Linked DNA regions of Tamandua tetradactyla. The protein of the gene in region 1 purifies or fractionates together with the protein of each later gene. This does not show direct contact. Links are inferred from orthologs where the notes say so. Each region holds a gene or a part of one and is shown in the gene's direction. Other genes may lie near its edges.

The links.
Region 2: the proteins of SEC13 (region 1) and NUP85 purify together in Homo sapiens (affinity purification with mass spectrometry; 5 studies listed by BioGRID and IntAct, counting the BioPlex papers as one, with this or other methods). This does not show direct contact. The link is inferred for Tamandua tetradactyla from reciprocal best matches to the Homo sapiens genes SEC13 and NUP85.

What each region holds. Positions count from the first base shown.
Region 1 is NC_135335.1:38,755,707-38,763,865, forward strand, and holds the start of SEC13 (protein SEC13 homolog), read left to right. Parts: upstream 1-5,070; 5' UTR 5,071-5,184; coding exon 5,185-5,187; intron 5,188-8,159. UniProt on the Homo sapiens protein: Functions as a component of the nuclear pore complex (NPC) and the COPII coat. At the endoplasmic reticulum, SEC13 is involved in the biogenesis of COPII-coated vesicles.
Region 2 is NC_135332.1:15,619,935-15,627,188, forward strand, and holds the start of NUP85 (nuclear pore complex protein Nup85), read left to right. Parts: upstream 1-4,117; 5' UTR 4,118-4,198; coding exon 4,199-4,459; exon of another isoform or gene 4,460-4,493; coding exon of another isoform or gene 4,494-4,517; intron 4,518-7,254. UniProt on the Homo sapiens protein: Essential component of the nuclear pore complex (NPC) that seems to be required for NPC assembly and maintenance. As part of the NPC Nup107-160 subcomplex plays a role in RNA export and in tethering NUP96/Nup98 and NUP153 to the nucleus.

The sequences.
Region 1 (8,159 bases):
ATTTTTCCCCCAAGACAATATCAGCACTAGTAATCCCACTTAATAAGAGCTTATTTAATTGTATGTTGGCCTCTTAACTGCTAAGCACTTTGTGGGTCTCAGCTTTTTTCATAAAAGAACTTTTGTATTTAATACAAAGTTTGCTTTGAGACTTTTCAGCATACGATCTTTTTCCATAAACTTGTACAGTGCAAAAGACATTTTGAATACCATGATCGATGATGTCCCATGCTTCAAGGAAAAACCAAACCCTTTCCGCCTCGCTTGCAAAATTCATTCCCCACGCTGACCCTTCCCAGAGCTGTTCTGTGTCAGCCTGGCCCCCTTCCTTTCTCTGGGCCCAGAGAACTCTTCCACAAACCAGATGAGATCCACTTGGGAAAAGAGCCATAGTCAGCTGGGAGGGCCTGGGTCTGGATGGCTGTTGGAGAAACTTGAGAGCTTGGGTCCAGAGTCAGCCCAGCCCACCGAGCTAACCCTGCCTGTGAGAAGAAGGCTTTCAAGTAGGACTGTCTTGGGCAGAAAGCATCATCGGAACAGCGTGGAGAAATATCTCTAAATGTTTCCGGCAGAGGAAACCGCACCTCCAGCCCTCGGATATGCCACTGGACTCAGCTGCACCCTCCTGCAGAGGAAGGAAAGACCTGCACATGTGAAACATGGGACAGCCGTGGAACATGGTGTTTTTTGGAGTTTCCTTTCTCACGTTTTCCATCCTCCCCTTCTTTGTACCATTCACATGTCCATAACCTCATCCCGTGACACCAGGGTTGTTCCACTTGCAGGGCAAACAGGAGGGGCCTCTCCAAGGGGAGCCTGGCTTGGGAATAGGGAGTGACAGAAGCCACCTCAGAAAGGACAGCATTCATGTTGGTCTTTTTCTGTCGGGAATGATAGCCCCTCAGTGCACACCCCCTCACTCTCACACTTGCATACATCCCCACACACAGTGGAAATGATTGGTTTGTCAAAACTCACTGTAGTCCGTAAAGCTTGCACTCTGCGTCCTATATCTAGCAGCATGGGGTACGTTTGGCAGTTCACCCCATTAGGGGGTAAATAATTTATGACCATTCATCTGTTTTTATGAATTTTTTTATCTAGACGATAATTGTAAATAAAAAAAACTCACCGTCTCTGTTCATTTAATACTATGCAATGGTTATGCTTTCAATTGCTGACTCCTTAATCCCTCAGTGTGGTTTTGAAATGTCTGGTTAAAAAAAAAAAAGCAAAAAACAACCTCAAACAACATAGTAAGTATATTATACTCTGTACTGTATACTTTTTCTCTATGGCTGGGGCTGCACCATCCACTTAGTTTCTCCTCTGTCCTGCAGACAGGAGCCCCCGGAGAAGATAACTGATTCAGTTCTGAAGTCTAAACTCACCAACTTGCCCCCCATGACAGATGAGGGAAGAGCAGGGAGCCCCATTCAGGGACTCCTAAGGCTATCGAGTCAGCCACCTTTGGAAGTGGGCAGGGAGGAGACTGTGGAATTTCTTTCCTGAAACTCAGGCAGAGCTTTCCCTAACTCAGGAGCAGCCCCGATTGCTCCTGTTAGCCTCTCACCACCACCCCTTGCCCCCCCGTCCCTTTGTCCCAACACGAGGGAGGGCGCCATGCTTCTGAGACCAGACTAATGACAGTGACAGTACTGGAGCAATGCCTCCATCCCTGTCTTATCCTGGGTGTCCCCGATATTGGATAATGCCCTCTTTTTCCCAGCCTTTTAGAAATGCCATGTCTTACAGGGACTTGGGACTGTTTCTGGAATTTCTCTCCTGTTCCCTTTTCTGGGTGTCTCATCTGGCACAAGCCACGCAGTTTTAATGATTGTAGCTTTATAACGTTTTGTTAACCGGTGGGGTGAGTCTGCTTCACTCTTCTCTTACAAAATTTCTTGGTTGTTCTCTTCCATCTGCTCCTTGAAGTCAACTTTAACATTTTGCCAATTCTACCCATCCCTGCCCTCCTCCTACCCCAAATTTTGGGTCCTGTCATTCAGTGTGCAAGCATTTTCCCTTCATTGCAATTACCAGCCACTCAAGGCCGCTAAAGAGAGTGTGCCAGTTGCCAGAAGCCTTGTGCCCCTCCCATCATTTCATCTGTCACCTGAGCTCAGGAGTTGTTAGGAAAGGCCACTGAGCTCCCACCTAATCTCAGCTTGGGAACCAGAGTCACCCCACCATTAGCCTTGCTGGAGGGGGTGCTCCTCCTGCCCCTAGCTCAGCTGAGAAAGTGGCGTCTCTCCCAGACCTGGAGCTACCAGAGCTTCCTAGGAGAGAGACCTTTGTTAGGAATATGTGGCCCAGTTGTCATGTACTTCTAATTTCTCATCGTGGAGAACTGTCTGTTCCCATCTCCCTTTCCTGAGCAGGTTCTGTCTATTTTGGGGTTTGTGTTTTGTTTGGGGGTTGAGAAGCTAAGAACCTCCTGCTCTTACCCAGAGTTTTCAGAGGTTGTGTGACAGGTCCTTTGGGATACAGCAATTTTTCATCTGGACCTTATCACCACTGTTATTCTCCCCACCACATTCTTGTTCTGCCTACAGAAGGCTGCCAACCTAGTGCCCTCTGACAAGCCACCCACAAAAATCTCTCTCCTGACGTAGTGTCTGAAGCCCTACCACTAGAGGGTCTTGGGAGTGGGGGCGGTGTGTGTAGTTCTAGAAAGCCTTTGGATCTTACAGAGCCAAATCCTAAATCAGATAACAGCAGGAAATCCCTGGGTCATTTCCAAGTTCCAAATCAAGCTCCCCAGATTTTGATGCAGAGATCTACCCATGCAAGTAGGGGAAAGGGGGTCTCAGGCTCTGGGCATCAGCCTACACCCCCTCCCCTTAAAACAAGATATTTGAGGCTGCTTTGGGACTGCCCTTCTCAGACCCCTACGTGTTTTGTAATGCCTGTGGTGCTCTCTCTCCCGGACCTTTTGGGGGTCACCACACTTTGCTAACTCTTGTGTGCACATATTTTATAACAGAGTAGCGAGAGAATGGTGCCGCCTCCAGCTTCCACAAGCTGCCTGGGCTCTGGGACAAATGGGACTGGGAAGTGACTGTGCTCTTATTGTACACTCTTTATTTCTCTGTATCTCTGGCTTGTGCTCTCTGTAATGAATGGGATTTGTCTGCCTTTTCAACACTATACTGAGCAATAACAATAAATGCACACGTGGAAACACAGACACGGTACACATCACAAGACCTTTTTCCACAGGACAACTGGGTCTCCACCTCACCCCTCGTGGATTTAAATTCCGGGGAAATTAAGTCCCTGGGAGGGAAGTCCCAAGGCTGTGTATCTCCTTCCACCAGGTCATACCTTCTGGAACAAGTGCATATTCATACCTGAAAATCCAGGAGAGAGACAAACTTAACCTGCCATCAGCTACTGACCCTCCATGAGGAATGGCCAATAGTCCCAGAGAATAAAATCTTAGAAGGGGCCTCAGGAGGAGGAGGAGAAGATGCAGGCAAAGGGACTCGGGGGAGAGGGGGTCACAAATTGGGGAGACCTAAGAGTGGCCTGATTTGGTTCTGGGGGCAGGAGATAATGGACACAGGATGTAAGAAGCATCCCTATTAGGAAGAGGGGAGCCTGGTACCCAAAGTGTCTGAACTTTGTAAACCTCTGCTTAGCATCAGAGCAAGACACCATCCCCAATGTTGAGTGAGGGATGGGAGATGCAGCCACACATGAACCCCAAATCCTAGCCTCTTCCCAGGCCCATCCACTTCCAATTTCACATCCATTTAATCTCATATCAACCTTCAGAGGGTGTATTATTACAGTTCCCACTTGGTACTACTAGCTGGTAGGCAATATAGTATTTAAACTAAGAGTTTCCTTCCTGACCCTGTACTCTAAACCAGTTTATTAACACTGTCTTTCAGGTCTGCAGCAATGCGTAAGATACAGTTTCATTCTCTGTCCCAAATTCTCAATTTCTTTTTCAAGGCCTATGCAAGGACATTCTTTTAATAACAACTATTCCACCATGCATTATATTTATATTATATCTGATATGCCATTATCCCCATTTTCCAGTTCAGGAAACGAGGCTCAGGGAGAAAACTGACTTAGCCTTATCACTGAGAGAAATCAGTGGTGCAGCTACAGACCGGAGGCCAAGGTCTATTCCTTTAAGAACAGGAAACCCAAGAGATCCCCACCTTTATTCTCTGCTCCATACTAGTCCCCACTCCCCCCACCCCCCGCCCCACTTCCCACACAGTCCTGCAATATTTTTCCATTAGAGGGATAAACAAGTCCTGAAATCCGTTGGAAGGAAGTACAAGTCCTGAGTTTCCTCAAGCGGTAATCATCCAGCTAGATTTCTTACCCTGTTTTCAAGAGAGGAAACTGTCATCTAAGGGGAATCTAGGTTCCACGCTGGGTCACTCTCCTCAGTGCCATGAGGGGCCAGACTCCTGGGCCATGTGTGGCAGAAAGGAGCCCCCATCTCTGTCCAGCGGTGCAGGGTTCTCACTGAGCTTACTGGGGTCCTCCCCTTGGACAACCAGGGACTTAAGGACTGGGGACTCTAGTGGTTGGGTCTGGGCTCCAGCTGTAGGAACCTGGCTAAGATCCCTCCTTGCCCGGTCGATTACCTGACGGGCCAGACTCACAGGATCCCGGACCGTGGGGAAGGGCATCGGCCCTATGACTAGGGGAAGGAGGGGTAACAAGCCTCACGGCGTCCCAGCCCTTGGATTCTGAGGAAGGTCTAACAACAAGAAAGTACTGGGTGCGTCCAGTTTACCCACCCATCCCCCAATATTTAATCATCCTACAATGTTTCGTCATAAGGACGGTCGCATCCCGAACCGGAGGGAGGCAGGGGAAGCTGCAGTTATGAATCCTTTCTTTCATTTACGGATCTCAGGAAAAGGGAAGGACTGGCCCGGAGGGAAGACGGTCTTGGTATCTGAGTTTCGGATTCCAAGTGACCCCTGGTCAGGGTCCGGGTGGAACCCGCAGCCTCATCTGGTCAGCCCGCGGGATCCTTAAAGGGGCGGGGCCACGGGAGGGCGCGGCGCGGCCTCTAGACTGCGCGGAACCTTTGCACGCCGGTGTGGGTTGCTACCGGAGACTCCGGCCGAGCGGCACCGGAAGTGAGCCGTTGGGAGGAACCGGGAGCTGCCACGTCCGAGGGCCGGAGCCGCCACTGACGCAGTCATGGTGAGTGTTGGGACCCGGGACACCCAGCGGAATTCGGGCCGGGGTCGCGTCTGCTGACCGGACAGAACTCGCCCTGTCGGATTCCACTGCCGCGTTGCGCTCAGCCCGAGAGAGGGGCCGTCTAGCTTCCTCCACTCTCCCGAGGTTTGGGGTCTTTGGCCCTGCCGCTCGGCTCCTTTCGGAGGGGAAGGCCGCGGAACCTCCCGGAACTCTGCGTGCCGCGCGGCCGCCGCGTCTCTCGTACCTTCCTTTAGTTCCCTTACCTCAACAAACAGAACCCAAAATAGCATTGTAGCTACCGTATCCGAGCCCGTAGTCAGTTCCCAGTGTTGTTCATAAGCTCAGTCTGTCAGTATACCTATGAGGTGGGTGGTATTATTATCAACATTGTACAGATGTGACAACTTAAGGTCCGGAGATGTGGAACGTCTTGCACAGCAGAAGAGTCGCAGAGCTAAGATTCAGTTCTGCCACCTACCACCTGTGCCAGCAGAGATGTTTGTCGAACTCTTACTCAGCGCAGGGCCCCACAGAAGGTACCCTAAGTATGATGATCCCCTCAGGAAACTGAATGTAAGGATGTGCTGAAGGACTTTCTGGAGGGCAGGAGCTGAGGTTTTTATCTCATTGGTATCCACGGTGTACGTGTACTCCAGACTTATTGGGTAGTTGACTGTCCGAACTGAGAAATAGTGGATGGAAGCCTCCATCTTCAGCCCGTGAGGGTTCATTTAAAAACGCTCACTCAGTCACAGACGTGTGGAAACCCCAAGTCAAGACATCGGGTTTAGTTCCTCCTCTTTTGGGTGAAGAGGCTTCAGGTGCTGAATAGGATCTTTTGTGCTCTGATACTCAGCTCATTTTAACTGAATTTTTAACTCATGGACTGACTCTGAGGAGCTGAATTGTTTTGAGTACTGCCTCCTAGAACTTTAAAAAGGAAAACACAGATAACTCCGTGTGCTCGGGAGGAAGTGCTTTAAGAGCTTACAACACACATATTCTTACACATTATATAGATATCCCTGTTTAGCTTATAGTGTCTTGGAGTGGCTAGAGGGAAGTACCTTAAACTGTTGAACTGTGTTCCAGTAGCCTTGATTCTCGAAGATGACAGTATAACTATATAGCTTTTACATTGTGACTGTGGGATTGTGGAAACCCTGTGTCTGATGCTCCTTTTATCCAGGGTATGGAAAGATGAGTTAAAAAAAAAAAGAAGAAGAAGAAGAAGAAACAGAATTAAAAATAAACAAATAATAAGGGGAGGTAAAGGGTAAGAATTGGGTACGTCGAAGTACTGTAGGTCAGTGAGAAGGAGGGATGAGGGGTATGGGATGTATGAGGGGTTTTGTTTGTTTGTTTGTTTGTTTTCTGTTTCTTTTTCTGGAGTGATGCAAGTGTTCTAAAAATGATCATGATGAAGAATACACAACTATGTGGTGGTGTTGTGAGCCATTGATTATATACTGTGGTTGGGCTGAATGTTTGTGGGTAGTTCTCAATAAAAATATTAAAAAAAAACAAAACACACACACATGTTGAGAATCATGGTTCACCAACTCTGGTGGGTGAGAGTGGTTAGAAATAAATGCTAGTTATCTTTAAGGTCCTTTGATGACCTGATATGAAACTACCTCCTAGTAAACTTTCTTCCTGACTCTCCTTAGCCTTCAGTCTTGGATTTAAGGAATACATTGTAACAGCTACTTTATGTTCTAGATAGACAGCCTTGTGGGCTGCAAGCTAGGAGAAAGGCTCCATTCCCAGGTCTGCCTTTCCTTAGTCACTGTGACCAGGTACTTTCTCTTCTCTGAGCTTCAGTTCCTGAGTCAGACATCCCTGATTAACTCTGCCCTTTGTACCTCCAAGCACACATGTGGAATCACTTTGTAACATGTAGTGCTCTACATACATAGGAGACTCTTCCCCTTATCTGTCTTCCTTACTTGCCCTTGCAGTTCTTGGGGATCCTCTCTTTACGGAGTTTAGAATTTCATGAAAGAAGCTGTCTTTACTTGTGTACATTTTGTCCACAAATGCAGCTATCCTCTTCCAGAAACCACCTTTCTGAAAAGCTAAGTCTAAACTTTATATCAGCAGGGCTTGTGTTTGAAAAGATGAAATAGAAGGTATGGTAAATATCAATTCCAGAATATAACTGTGCTTTCAGTCCCTTTTTTTGAAAAAAAATTTTTTAAATACCAAAAAACACCAAACGCAAACATTCTTAACTTTTGATCATTCCAGTCTATATATATAATCAGTAATTCACAATATCATCACATAGTTGCGTATTCATCATCATGATCATTTCTTGGAACATTTGCACGTATTCAGAAAAAGAAATAAAAAGAAAAAAAAATCATACAAACCATACCCCCATCCCTCCCCCTCACTGAACACCAGCATTTCAATCTAAATTTATTTTTACATTTGTTCCCCCTATTATTCATCTTTATTTCATGTTTTACTCATTTGTTGATAAGGCAGATAAAAGGATCATCAGACACAAGGTTTTCACAATCAGACAGTCACGTTGTGAAAGCTATATCATTATACAATCATCTTCAAGAAACATAGCTACTGGAACACAGCTCCACATTTTCAGGCAGTTCCCTCCAGCCTCTCTACTACATCTTGTCAGTTCCTTTTATATCCTAAGAATTTAAAGAGAGTAGTGGTTGAGCAAAGTAAAAATGTCAGTTTTTGTTCATTCATTTGTTCATTCAGCAAGTAGTCACTGTACTGCTAAGTACTGTGCCAGATGATTTGAAGGGATTAAAAATCTGCAGCTAACTCAAACCCTGGCTCCAGGGAGCTCACCTTCTCCTAGGAAGAAGATATAGCATAGAATGTTGTGGACATTCAGCACTGAAGATATTCAGAGGATATGTAGATATGCAGCCATTCCAGTTAGCAGGGAATTTCCAACACTGAGGTGTGAGGTGAACTGAATCTCAAAGAATGGA
Region 2 (7,254 bases), on another chromosome or scaffold:
TGTGTCACCTATCTATCCATCTATTTTCTAAGTATTTGAGTTTAAGTTGTACATATCATGCTTCTTGAACACTTTATACTGCCATGTAATTTCCTAAGAACAAGGATAATCACTTATGTAATCACGCTAAGTAAAATTATTAAGTGCAAGAAATTTAACATGGATATAAAGCTTAGTCTATATACTAATTTTTTCATATGTCTCAATAATGTCCTTTTGGGCCTTTTCTCCTCCATTATTAGATCCAATCCAGGAACGTGTAATTTGGAACTGTACATGGAAGTATAAAGTGTTCAAGAATCATTATAGGTACAACCTATACTCAAAGGCATGTGTTTAATGTGATTTCCACATTAAATACATTAATGTGGAAATAGATATGCAACCATATGTAGTGTATATACTTTAGTGGATTAAAACAAATTCCCAGTGTTGTGTTACCCTCACCACCATTCATCACGAGATCTTTCTCATCATTCTAACAGAAACCCATTAACTCCTCATCCCTCCTTCCACAACCTCTAACCTGTATGTGCTGGTTTGAAAGGCTTTATGTGCCCTAGAAAAGCCATGTTTTAACCTTAATCAGCCTTGTGGGAGCAACAGTTTCTTCTAATCCCCATTCAGCACTGTATGTTGGAGACTTCAATTAGATTATCTCCCTGGAGATGTGACTCAATCAAGAGTGGTTGTTAAACCTGATTAGGTGGAGACGTGTCTCCAACCATTCCGGGTGGGTCTTGATTGGCTTTACCGGAATCCTTTAAAAGAAGAAGCACTTTGGAAAAAGCTAGAGAACAAGAAAGTCGAGAGATTCTGAGAGAGCAGAGAAGAATGATATAGCCAGGAGAAGCAGAGTCCACCAGCCAGTGACCTTCGGAGATGCAGAAGGGAAAGGCTTCCCGGAGAACTTCATGAAATAGGAAGCCGGAGAGAAAGCTAGCAGATGACGTGGTGTTCACCATGTGCCCTTCCAAATGAGAGAGAAACCCTGACTGTGTTCGCCATGTGCCTTCTCACTTGAGAGAGAAATCCTGAACTTCATTGGCCTTCTTGAACCAAGATATCTTTCCCTGGATGCCTTTGATTGGACATTTCTATAGATTTGTTTTAATTGGAACATTTTCTCAGCCTAAAAACTGTTAGTTTGCAACTTATTAAATTCCCTTTTTAAAAGCCACTGAGTTTCTGGTATATTGCATTGTAGCCAGCTAGAACACTGTACTCTACTTTCTGTCTTTATTAATTTGCATATTCTAGTTATTTTATATATCTCTCTAAGCTCTTTTGTTTTCATTTGTTCAAATTAAATTTTCCTTAAGTTATGTTTTGCAAAGGATGGTTTTTCTTTTTGGTCTTTTGTCCTGTGATCTTTTCCTTTCCTTCTACGCCCATCTTGTCTCAGAGAATTTTCTCTGAGGGAAATCAGGAATGATTTCTAAGTATCAATGTCTTATCAAACTTGGCTTTAACTTCTACTTCAAGAATTTTGAATAGCCAAAGCAGATACAAAAGCTATTTTAGGGTAAGCCATGGTGGCTCAGCAGACAGAGTTCTTGCCTGCCAGACCAGAGACCTGGGTTCGATTCCCCATGCCTGCCCATGCAAAAAAATAAAACAAAAAAAATTTCATCTATCTGCTACTGAATGTTTATTTTCCTTTTGGAAACATTGGACCTCTTTTTTCCCCTTTAAAACTGGACATAAATATATCATGCTCATACTTCATAAGCCCCATTGTGGTACCAGTTGTTTCGGAGAGGTTAAGAGTTAACAAATGATTATGATGACTGAATCATTATATAGATACCTTTTTACCTTCGAGTAATTGTAGAATAGCCAAAGTAAATATCTGAATCTACTGAGACTCCCTGAACCTTAACCCAGATGCCTTGATTTTTTTTATTAATTTAAAAAAATTAACAAACAAAACATTTAGAAATCATTCCATTCTACATATATAATCAGTAATTCTTAATATCACATAGTTGCATATTCATCATTTCTTAGTACATTTGCATCGATTTAGAAAAAGAAATAAAAAGACAACGGAAAAAGAAATAAAATGATAATAGAGAAAAAAAAACTATACGTACCACACCCCTTACCCCTCACTTTCATTTACCACTATTTCAAACTGAATTTATTTTAACATTGTTCCCCCTATTATTTTTTTTTCAGATGGGCAGGCACCAGGAATCGAACCCAGGTCCTTGGGCATGGCAGGCAAGCACTCTTACCTGCTGAGCCACCGTGAACTGCCCTGTTCCCCCTGTTTATTTTTATTCCATATGTTCTACTCTTCTGTTGATATAGTAGCTAAAAGGAGCATCAGACATAAGGTTTCCACATTCACAGAGTCTCATTGTGAAAGCTATATCTTTGTTCAATCATCATCAAGAAACATGGCTACTGGAACACAGCACTACATTTTCAGGCAATTCCCTCCAGCCTCTCCACTACATCTTGAACAACAAGGTGATATCTACTTAATGCGTAAGAATAACCTCCAGGATAACCTCTCGACCCTGTTTGGAATCTCTCAGCCATTGACCAGATGCCTTGATTTTGATGATTATCTCTTTATCTTATGATTGTAAAAGCCTTGTGATAATTTGTAACTGGCCCCGCTTATACCCCTTTATCCTGTTTTATAACATTTAAGTCTTGTGATAACTAGACAGCCTCTTAATGTTTATTAAGGAAGTAACTTAAGGAGCCCAGAACCCACCCCAATTCCTAAGCTATTTTACTAGACAAAACTGGATCTAACTAAAATTGGCCCATTTGCCAAGTGCAGTAGGGTAAGCCTTAACCTATGTGACCTATACCTAATGATAAAACTAAAAGTCATACCCATCATCATGTTAAAGCCACCACCTTCTTATATATATATTCTCTATCTAGGCATGTAATCAACTTGTGCATGCTTAATTAGATCATCTCTAACTTTGTCATTGTGAGCCATTCTACTCATTATCCTAAAACCTGCCTTTGATACTATAAAACTCTCAGAGTTATTGTAGTTTGGAGACAAAGATTTTGGGTACACAGGCCATCTGTTCCTTGCTTCGCACTTGGCAATAAATGCTTTCTCCCAGTGAAACCCTCGTCTCAGGAATTGCTCATTTGTGTAAATTGGGCAGAGAACCTCCCACCCCACCCCCCGGGTTTGATCACTAAGGCAGTCACAAAAAGATCAGTGAAACTTTGTGAACCATTTGGAATATGCAGCAAAATACAGATGGTAGAAACGCTGTGGAGTTTTGTGTAAGGCTATGCTAAATTTCTTCCTACAGATGTCTGACCTCAGTGACAGGGCTTTTGATGACACTGATTTTCCTTCTCTTAGTTAACAATCGTGTTCAAAACAAAAAACCCTTAAAGTTTTATTGGGGTGAGAGGATTTTCCTAACTCTCGAAGTCATCTTATTTCCACTAATACAAATAGATTATTCGGAATAACCTCAGGGAAAGAAGTTTTCCAGGTAGGGCACTCATACATTTGTCTGGTTTTCAAAATAATTTCTTTCCTAAATAAAGGAAGCTGCTACATTTTCAGGCATTCTTAAGTCTTTCAAATTTCAAATATCTTTAGTTCGTTCGAAAAGTCCTTTACATAAGAAATTCAGAAAAAGTACTATTCTCTTACTTGACAACTGTTATATGGCATTGAAAATAAACCAATTTCACAATTTGAAGTTATTGGGGGCACTTTTAAGTTTTCTGTAACAGAGGCACGGATTCCCTGATTGCTATTGTTTGGTCCCGGCCTTTATTTGCAGAAAGAAAACCAGTGTTTGTGCTTAATTAAACCAGCCTATCTGTCTCTGTTTCAGCGGCATCAGTTTCGTTCAAGTACGTCCTGTGTTTTGGGGTGGGAGTGGCGGCTACTGCCTTCGAACACAAGTCCGTTGGGCCGACGGGGCTCCCTTTCCTTGGACACCGCCAGGAGAAGCAGCGACTGTATCAAGGGGACTAGGAGGAGGCGAGCAGAGCCGGCCACGCGGGAAACCGCGCGCTCCACACGGCGGGGCCGGGACCCAAGCGCCAGGAGCCGCCCCAGGCCACGCACGCGCACCCGCGCCGCCTCCGCCCGGGGTGCCGCTCGCGCCGCGCTCGCGGGGCTGTCCTCGGCGGCGCCTGATCGGTGCGGAGAATTACTGTGAGGACAGAGTGGCCTTGGCTGTTTTCCCTGATGTGTTGTCGAGGCCAGGAAGGAGCGATAGTTTTAGAAGGCCGCAGAAGACGGGTTGTGACTGAGAAGAGAGGTGCCTGCCGTTTTGGAGGGTTTGGGCCTGAACGGCAGTGCAGGAGGCGCTCAGGCGGGGTCTTCTCTGCCAGCCGGACTGCGAGCAGGCGGGTCGAGCGGGAGCCTTGGAGCTTTGGCGTCCCTGCGAGTTCCGGGCGGCTGGGTCGCGGCGACATGGAGGATTTCGATGGCGAGCCAGTAGTCACTGTAAGGGCATCCCCGAATAGGCTTGTTTGCCCTCATGGTCCGAAGGCTGTGCCTGCTTGTACGTTTTGGGCTTTTTAACCTACGTACCGCCCTCGAGAATGTCGGCTTATTGGCCACGGTCGGGAGGTCTCGACACTAACTAGATGCCAGAGTTGGGTTTGCAGTGGTAACTGGGTTTTTGCTCTTTTATTCCCTCAGAAACCTGTCCCCTGAGGGCCTGCTCCCTCCCTAGGTCTCCGGTCCTTCCCATTTCCCCTGGCCTTTCCTCTTGGGTATTAGAGCAGGCTTGGACCAAGCAGAAGGAAGATTTTTTCTTCCAGCCGAACTAAACTCCACATCGTAATGCCGGGAGCTTGGACTCTGTCAGCTGTTTGTACAGTGTTGGCCCGAGGTTTATTAAACTTATTCTCTCGGGAGACTATTGCTAGTTTCATTGCTCTGTTTGCATTCAACTCCGTTTGAACTCGAGAACAGTGTCAACTGCGGATGATCTTAATGTTTATAAATAGATTCCTAGGTTTTAGATACTATTTAGTTACCGCTTTCTCTGCTTGGAATAGTCCCCCCTTTGGTTTTGGTTTATCTCTTACTCACTATTCAAATCCAAGCACCAGCAGCTTCATTTTCAGGAAAGCCTACCCTGACCTTGAGTAGGTGAACTATCTCCTGTCTGTTATAGGCTTTCAGAGTTCTGTACTTCTTAGCTGTTAACAAACTGTAATTAACTGAGCGTGTGTTTTTGCTTTTTAGAAAGTTGAAATGACAACAGTTTTCATCTAAAACCACCAGATTGCAAAGCAGTCTATGACAAACCAAACATTGAAAATAAGGATCTTTCAAAGCTAAATAGACAGAAATAAGACATGAGATATTAAGTAGGAGCAAACTAACATGGTTATTACTTTCTATTGAGCTTACTGCTGTAAAGTTTAAATATTTAATATGTATCAAGTATTTATATCAATGTTGGTGGTGTATGTAAGAAGAAGAATTAGAAAACCAGGATTACTGATATAACTTTTTGAAAGTATATGTCGTCTTTTCGTTTCACAGTCCACTTATGTCAGAATCTTTGAATGAGGGAAACTTCCCTGTCAAACCCTGGAGAACCTTTTCTCTGATACTGGGATATGCATTTTCAAAAGGGACAAAATGTTCAGCTAGGCCCCCTTCCTCCCCCAAGTGATGATGATTAATTTGTGGTAACCACATTCTGCATTGGTATTGGGGAGACCCGCTAGGAAGCTGGTTTGCCTGTGGACAGAGCCTCACTGCATGGCACCATCTTGGAAGAATTTCATAGTCCAAACTCTAAGCCTGGACTCTGCAAATTCAAATGAAACTGTTTTCTGTATTTGAGAGTTAATCTGTGCTTTGGGTTTACTCTAATCAGACTCTCAAGAGAATGATAAATAACCCTGAATACCTGAATAACATTTTATTAATATACCTCTTATAGTAGTTGTCTGCTGTTCAGGCAACTGCTTCTTATCAGGGCACATGAAGGCAATTTGGTAATTAGCACATTCAGTGATGTCTCAGCATAGATTAAAGAGAGTAGGATAGTCTTGGGTGGGTAGTTCATCTAGACCAGTGGTCTTAGCCTTTTTAATTTATTTTTGGGGTCAAGGACGCTTAAGAAATGTAAGTTATAGTCAAATTTTCCCTCCAAAAATGCCCCATGCATGTAATTACATGTAGTTCAAGGACCCATGGAAACCCAGACATGAAGCCTCATTTCCCTTTCCAGTCAGTTTCCACCATCCCACACATTGAGTTCTAGCACCATACATTAATTTTGCCTGCTCTTGAAATTTAGCTCAGTATTTGTTTTCTGTGTGTGTTTTTCAAGAACTCATTGTTTTTAGGATTTGTTATGTTGTATGAATCATGTTTCTTGTTGATAGATACTTGGGTTTCCATTTTTGGCTACCGTGAATAAAGCTGTTCTGTGTTCCTGTACAAGCTGGTAGTTTTTGTTTGTTTGCACATACACGTTCCTTTCTTCTGGGTAAGTGGAATTGCTAGGAGTTAGGGTAGATGCATATTTAGCTAGAAGAAGCTCAGTTCTTCTATACCATTTTTTTTTTCACCTGTACCAGCAAATTGTGAGAAATGCAGTTGCTCCATACCCTTGTCAACTCTTGGTATGATCAGTCATATCATTTTAGCCATTCTAGTGGGTGTGTTGTGGTATCTCAGTGTCATTTTAATTCATATTTCTCTAATGACAAATGATATTGAGAATCTTTTTACATGCTTATATGTCATTTGTATATCTTCTTTGGTGAACTGTGTTCAAATTTTTCTCCCATTCTATCTGGTTGTTGTTTTTCTTGAGTTGTAAGAGTTCTTTATATATTCTGGACCGAAGTCCTTTATCAATTAGATGCTTTACAGATATTTTCTCCCAATCTATGGCTTGCCTTTTCACTTTCCAATATCTTTTTAAGAGGGAAAGTTTTTAATTTTAATGAAGTCCTTTATAAATCTTTTTCTTTTATGCCTTCCATGGTTTGTGCTTTTTGTGTTCTAGGAAATCTTTGTCTCATTCAGAGTAAAAAAGATGTTCTCCTTTGCTTTGTCTATATGTTTTATAGATTCTGCTCTTACTTTTTAATTTTTATCCCCCCCCCCCCCCAGTGGATATCCATATGTTCCAGCACTATTTGTTGAAAATATATCCTTTCCCCATAAAATTACCTTGGCACCTTTGTTAAAAATCAGCCATATGCATGTGGGTTTGCTCTGGACTTTCTGTTCTCTTATATCGACCTCTATGTCCTTCGTCAGTA